Oryctolagus cuniculus: one gene and its partner. The protein of the gene in region 1 binds, or shares a complex with, the protein of each later gene. Links are inferred from orthologs where the notes say so. Each region holds a gene or a part of one and is shown on either strand. Other genes may lie near its edges.

Region 1 (4,318 bases):
TACTTACCACAGGACATGTAGTATATGAAAAACTGAACTTAAAATGACATACGTATGCTGACAGCAAACACACTGCTACATTCTGTACCAAAGACACTGGAAATTTCACAAACATCTCATGACACAGTGATTTCCAAGGAATTTATTTAATTAGACTTTCAGAGGGCTCTAAAAATCTGCATTTTTCACAAAGACCCCAGATGATTCTAGGTTCTGCTTGCAAGCATAGTTTAAGAAAGTAATTTTAACCTTCATTTGTGTCACATTACATAAACAATAAAATTAAATTATAAGTCATGTAATCTAACTTCTTTACATTAAAAGATACCTAAATACAATATGGTTCAAAATGAAATCATACGTAGTTCAAAAAGATGCTAAACCAAAAGCCATACAACAATGAGAAACATTAACAGCAAATGCAAGTACAAATGAAGATATTCCTCTGAATGCACATTTCAACGCGCATCAAAGACCACCACTGTATTCATCTGAGTTAAGGAAAAAAAAAATGTAGTTGAAAATTACAGAAAAAGACTGAAGACTTCCAAATCACTTTACATGTGCAACAAGCTAGTTTGTTAATTTAAAATGCACAAAGACCTGGAATTCACTATTTATTACAACAACTAGATATAAAGTAAATAAAAGCTTTCAATTTTTATTAGCACTTTTCCCAACCAATGAAAAAAAACCCAATGTATCAAAAAGCACTGAATGCTAAAGGTAATAACTTGTGATTTTAAAAAAGTTATGTTAGAAAATTACAACTCACTCTCAGTGTTTAGTCTCATGTGTTGGCTCCACTTTTTCCTACTAAGTAGCATACACAATATTTGTATTACTCCTTGTATAATTTATTTGTCAAGCTGAACAATCAGTTCTTATGTAAATACAGAATCTCTGGAAAATAAACTTATGAGAATCAAAATCAACTAGTATTTCAATTATTTAGTGCTTCAGTTCTTGTCTATGAAAAATGCTAATAATATCTCTTTAATTAATCCAAAGTTCTTACGGTTTCTACCAGAAGTAGTGTCTATCAACCCCTGCATCACTCTACAGTTGGCTCCTACCTCAGATTTTAAAAGTAGAGTTAAAGGATACATCTTTTTGTCCTTTTCTTGTACATTATTCTGTATCCACATTCTCTGCATCTGATTGGATCCCTGGATTTTATTTCATTTTCAGTGTGACATTCTAGGGAGAAAAAAAAAAAAAAGGCTTACTCAAATTTAAAAGGAAAACAGTGCAGACAGGCAAATTATCTTAACCATATCAGGCAAGGGTATGATATTACAAAATATACTAAATGGGAAAGAAGAGAGTTGTGGGCAATGCTGTTTTTCCAGAGCAAATAAGAGTTTTAAGTGGTGCTACGAGGCGCTCCTTTATAACTTTAAACACCAATGACTCATTCATTCAAAGGATAAATGTAATAATTTCAAAAACAAATTAAGCAAAATACTCTTACTTTATGTAGCGTTATCCTTACCTCCACAAATATATATCATTGGCTGCTGCTTTGGGGGCTGAACGTCTTTCTGGGCGTCCATTGTCAGTCCCTGCAAACACAGAATCAAATCCTCAGTATTTCAAAGGGGTTCCTCACAAACCCGAACAGCCCTCCCTCCCCTTGTTTTTTCAGGAAAAACTGAAAGAGATCCCAGTTCCCCCTCATCTGCGCTCTTCTCCGTGCCTGGGAGTTAGGTCTAAGGGGCAAACCACACAGACACACACAAGTACTGAGAGTCGACCCCAAACTGGGCACGACAGAAAATGATCCGCATTTTGTTCCTTCATTATAATCTTCACAACAACCCTCAAGTGTCACTCCTGTTTTATACACGAAGAAAGCGAGGCTGAGAGATACTAGTTTGCGCAGGCAAAAGGATTCAGATTCGGCTCAAAACTCGAGTTCTCATCTAACACATGAATATCCCTCCAAAACGGAACAGACTAACCGCCGGGAAGAATACTAAAATAATTCCCAATGGCTAAACAGCTCAACTAAAAGAAACCAGGCAAAGCACTGACGGCACCAACTCCTCCACCAGCATCTCCTGACTCTAACCTCGCACTGGACCTTCTTAGCCCCCAAGTGTCTTTCTGGTTTGGCTCAAATACCCACACCTAAACCCCAGCCCCATAACTCCTTACCTGCGTAGAACGGAGAAACTCCGCATCTGCTCCCAACACGCAGTGTCGCTGTCAACTTCCGGCGCTGGCTTGTGACGCAAGACGAGCACCGCCCCTTCCGCCCCGGCCCGGCCCGGAAACCGAGTTTGCGCAAGACTCTAAAACTAGTTTCTTGCTCGCAACGGACTCTGTGGACATCAAGCACATTTTTTAACACTTAGCTATTCTCATTTTTCAGGAAAGAAAATCATTTTAACAGTTCTTCAAAGGAAGTTTGTATTTCTGACTCGTGAGATTGGCGGAAATGAACGCTTTTCCGGAAGGACCGAGACTAAGAGGGACGGAGGTGACAAGTGCCGGTGGAATCCTGAACGCGCCGTTCCTCTGATGACTTAGACTCGGTTAACCAGTGATTTTTTTTTTTTTTTTTTTTGTTACCCCGTAGAAAAGCACATTCTAGGCTGTTTTCAGGTTGTTGGGTACCTGTGCTGGGGCTGTGTGCCAGCCGCCTCCCGTCCTTGTCATGCTTGATCGTGTTTTTGCTCTCCAGCCCTTTGCTTCTCCCTCGCCTCCACGCCTGTTACTCGTTTTACAGTGCAGGCGCACCTGCGGGGCAGCGCCCTCGACACCTCGCACTTAAAGCTAAAGGATTTTGGTAGCTTTAGCGGTTCACTGGCCCTCCCTTGGTCCCATGTATTCCTAGGAGAAAAAAAAAAAAAAAAAAAAAAGACGTGCTTGTGGGAGTTGCATTCTTTCAAAGAATATTCAGTGGCATAAATGCCGATTAGATTCGAACATTTACATTCATTTACTTCTTTCACAAAAGATATTTTACTTAGAATAGAAGCAGAGCTAAGAAAATGAAATTATTACAACTTTATAGAAATAATTAAAGATTTATTTATTTGAAAGTCAGAGTTACACAGAGAGAGGAGAGGCAGAACCAGAGAGAGAGGGGACTTCCATCTGATGGTTCACTCTCCAATTCGCAGCAACGGCCGGAGCTGCCCGATCTTAAGCCAGGAGCCAGGAGCTTCTTCCTGGTCTCCCATGTGGGTGCAGGGGCCCAAGGACTTGGGCCATCCTCCACTGCTTTCCCGGGCCATAGCAGAGAGCTGGATCAGAAGAGGAGCAGCCAGGACTAGAACCGGCGCCCACATGGGCTGCTGGCGCTTCAGGCCGGGGGTTAACCTGCTGCGCCACGGCTCTGGCCCCAGAAATAATTGTTAACAGTTATTATAAAGTTAATTGTAGAAGCAGGCTTGCTTCCCCCACATGCACTGTGTCTTTGGTATCTTATTAAGTAGGACTCCATCCATCAACTTGAGAACTTTAGCTTCACCTTTCATTTCCAGAAGTTAAAACTGTGTGGTTGCATCTCCACAAACCAACTTGAGACATTCAACTGGGATTTCCCTGTCTTTCCAGGGGGCAGGAGTTTGGCCTAGCCCAGCTCCACTTCTCAATTCCAGCTTCCTGCTGATGGCCGTCCTGGGAGGCAGCAGTTTCTGGCTCAAGTACTTGATTCCCTCCCACCCACATGGGAGAACTGGATTAAGTGACTGGCTCCTGATTTCAACCAGGGCTGTTGTGTGCATTTGGGGAGCGAGCCAGCTGATTCACTCTCTGCCTCTGTGCCTCTGTAATAAAATAATAGTATTAGGGCCAGCATTGCAGTGTGGCAGGTAGGGCCACTGCCTGTGACATCAGCATCCCATATGGGCAGTGGTTCAAGTCTCAACTACTTCTCTTCCAATCCCACTCCCTGCTAGTATGCCTGGGAAGGCAGCAGAGGATGGCCAACTGTTTGGGCCCCTGCACACACGTGTCAGATCCAGAGGAGGCTCCTGACTCCTGGCTTTGGTCTGGCCAAGTCCTGGCCAGTGAGGCCATTTGGGGAGTGAACCAGTGGATGGAAGACACCTCTCTCTCTCTCTCTCTCTCTGCCTTTCAAATAAATAAACATTTTTAAATGGAGATTTTCACATAAAAAATCAAATATTTTTGGGGAAACAGCAATTTCCTGCTTCTTCCTCCACAAACATGCTAACACAGCATACATATGACCATCACCCCTGTTACAATCAAAGAGAAGCAGTCATTCAATACACGAGTCGCAATAGGCTTCTGTACGAGATGTATAGACAAAGTCATTATCTTAGGATAAAGATGAGAGAGT
Region 2 (2,939 bases), on another chromosome or scaffold:
CGACATGCTTATAACCAAACTCTTGGATTTGAGTTTGTTTGTTAAGATTTTATTTATTTGAGAGGCAGAGTTACAGAGAGAGCAGTCTTCCATCCATTGGCTCCATCCTCAAATGACCACAATGGCCAGAGCTGGGCTGATCTGAAGCCAAGAGCTTCTTCTAGGTCTCCCACATGGGTGCAGGGGCCCATGCACTTGGCCCATTTTCCACTGCTTTCCCAGGCACATTAGCAGGGAACTGCGGTGGAAATGGAGCAGCCGGGACTCAAACCAGCATCTGTATGGATGCCGGCACTGCAGGCGGAGGCTTGTGCCGCAGCACCAGCCCCCAACAAACTCCTGGTCTTAACTGCAAACCTTTTCTGCCCACATTTCTCCCCTCTCAGTAAAAGACAACTCCATCCTCACATTTGTTCACACCAAAATCTCAGCGTCTCCTTGATTCCTGCCTTTCAAAGCTCAGCCAAGTGTTGGCTTTACATCAGTATACTAGAATTCAGTCTCCACTCATACAGCCAAGTCCACATCATTATCATGTCTTACCTGGATCACTGCAGCCACCAGTTGGTCTCCCTGTTAACACCTGGCCCCGCCACTCTGTCTTTTCTTACCCAGCAGTCAGCAGGATCCCTGCATTTTAAAGTCTTCAGTTTGGAAGTTAAATCATGTCACTCCGTGAACTACCTCCAAGCCTGTACTCATCTAGCGGTTGAAATAACCCCTTATGTTGTTAACTTCACTCAGTATCAGTGTTTTCACTTGAAAGAAAGAAAGCTGATTTTTTTATTTTCAGAGAATTACACTGTTATCTTTACAATTGATATTGACATTCCTTGGAACATCAAAAGATTGTGTTTCCTCTGAGAATTATAAAAATCTGTGTTTGAAGTGTATGTTCTTTTGCTAAGCACCCTACTGTGAGACATGGGCTTTTAATCTATATTGCCCACCAAGAGGGAGATATCTCTTTGTCTTGGAACTACTGTGTTCGTTCAGAGTAAGAACCACAAGAAAATAGAATTGAATGGAGATCTCTTTGAGCCTTCAAAGACTCTGAGGGATAGTTCATACGAAGGTCACACAAGTTTGTCGTGAAGGAGCTGAATTCACATCTGACTCTTGCCATACGCCATTAGCTTACTAGAGTGTCCATTTAGCCAGTTTTATCACTGGCAAGATACTAAACAACTATTGGTTTTTTAAATGTAATGGTCCTGCGGAAGTAAGGAAATTCATTTTTAATTCAATTAAAGAAGCTATGATTCTAGGCCTTATTAACTACAAAGCTTTTGAATATTCTTTTACCTTTTTTTTTAAATTTTCTTTTAAAATATATTTAACTTATTTGTAAGGCAGAGTAACAGGGAAGAAAAGACTGAGAAATCTTCATCCCCTGGTGTGTCCCCAAGTGGCTGCAACAGCTAGATCTGGGTCAGGCCCAAGCCAGGAGCCAGGAACTCCATTCTAGTCTCCCACATGGGTGGCACGGGCCCAAGTACTTGGGCTGTCCTCACTGCCTTCCCAGGCACATTAGCAATAAGCTGCGTCAGAAGCAGGGCAGCCAGGACTCGAACTAGCTCTATGATAGCGGATGCCACCCTGACCATGGTCTCTCTCTCAAACTTGCACTAAGAGTTCTAAAATAAGGCTGTGTCTAAATCCTTAACATTTGAGGTAGAGAGAAGTGAGGGATTAATAGTTCAGAATTTTAAAAATCATCCCAAGACTTAACATGTACCCAAATTTAATTTCTCAGTCTCTGCGGTGTGATTTGACAAGATATCTTACAACGTGTGTTTATCTCTGCAGCGATCCTGCCATGAAGCAGTTTCTGCTGTACTTGGATGAATCCAATGCCCTAGGGAAGAAGTTCATCATTCAAGACATTGATGACACCCATGTCTTCGTAATAGCAGAGTTGGTTAACGTCCTCCAGGAGCGAGTAGGTGAATTAATGGACCAAAATGCCTTTTCTCTTACCCAGAAGTGAAAATAAAGATACTGACCACTTGGGAATTGCAAGCAACAATGTGAAAGACTGTCCCCACCCAGTGTTTTCCGTGTTTTATGTGACTGAGCAGACATGAGGCAAATGCTGCAGAAAAGACCATGGGATCATTTATTCAGGAAAACACCCTGAGCTGATTTGTTTTACACTAAAATTAAAAAAACAAAAACGAAATCCTCTAACAGTTGTCTGTGATTTGATTTTTATTGTCCTTTATTAAAAGATTGTGGGGGGGCCAGTCCTGTGGCACAGTGGGTTAATCTTCTGCCTGTGGCGCCGGCATCCCGTATGGGCACTGGTTCTAGTCCCAGCTGCCCCTCTTCTGATCCAGCTCTCTGCTATGGCCTGGGAAAGCAGTGGAGGATGGCCTGGATGCTTGGCCCCTGCACCCCATGGGAGACCGGGAGGAGGCACCTGGTTCCTGGATTCGGATCGGCACAGCTCTGGTTGTTGTGGCCATCTGGGGAGTGAGCCAACGGAAGGAAGACCTTTCTCTCTGTTTCTCCCTCTCACTGTCTGTAACTCTGCCTCTCAAATAAATAAATAAAATCTTTTAAAAAAATACAAATGTAGGGGCTGGTGTTACACAGATTATGCTTGGAATGCCTGTATCTCCTACTGGAGAGCCTGGGATCAAGTCCTGCCTCTACTTCTTCCTATCCAGCTTCCTGCTAATGAGCCTGGAAGGCAGCAGATGATAGCCACGCCCAGGGTTCCTGCCATCCACTTGAGAGACTCCTGGAGCTCCTGGCTTGGCCCGGCCAGCCCCAGCTCTTTGGAGCATTTGGGGAGTAAACCTGCAAATGGTAGATCTCTTCCCCCTCACCCCCGCCTCTCACCATCACTCTGCCTCTTAAACAAACAAATGTTTATACATAAAGTTAACGTGATATTTGGCCTGCCCGTATCAGAGTGCCCAGGTTTGAGTCCC

Evidence for each region.
Region 2: POLR2K (region 1) and GTF2H5 share a complex: the UniProt entries of both Homo sapiens proteins name them as parts of the TBP-based Pol II pre-initiation complex. The link is inferred for Oryctolagus cuniculus from reciprocal best matches to the Homo sapiens genes POLR2K and GTF2H5.

The regions. Positions count from the first base shown.
Region 1 is NC_091437.1:125,592,274-125,596,591, reverse strand, and holds POLR2K (DNA-directed RNA polymerases I, II, and III subunit RPABC4), read right to left. Parts: upstream 2,864-4,318; 5' UTR 2,161-2,863; intron 1,566-2,160; 5' UTR 1,557-1,565; coding exon 1,496-1,556; intron 1,201-1,495; coding exon 1,108-1,200; exon of another isoform or gene 1,077-1,107; intron 482-1,076; coding exon 459-481; 3' UTR 128-458; downstream 1-127. UniProt on the Homo sapiens protein: DNA-dependent RNA polymerase catalyzes the transcription of DNA into RNA using the four ribonucleoside triphosphates as substrates.
Region 2 is NC_091436.1:9,572,315-9,575,253, reverse strand, and holds the end of GTF2H5 (general transcription factor IIH subunit 5), read left to right. Parts: intron 1-1,809; coding exon 1,810-1,990; 3' UTR 1,991-2,190; downstream 2,191-2,939. UniProt on the Homo sapiens protein: Component of the general transcription and DNA repair factor IIH (TFIIH) core complex, which is involved in general and transcription-coupled nucleotide excision repair (NER) of damaged DNA and, when complexed to CAK, in RNA transcription by RNA polymerase II.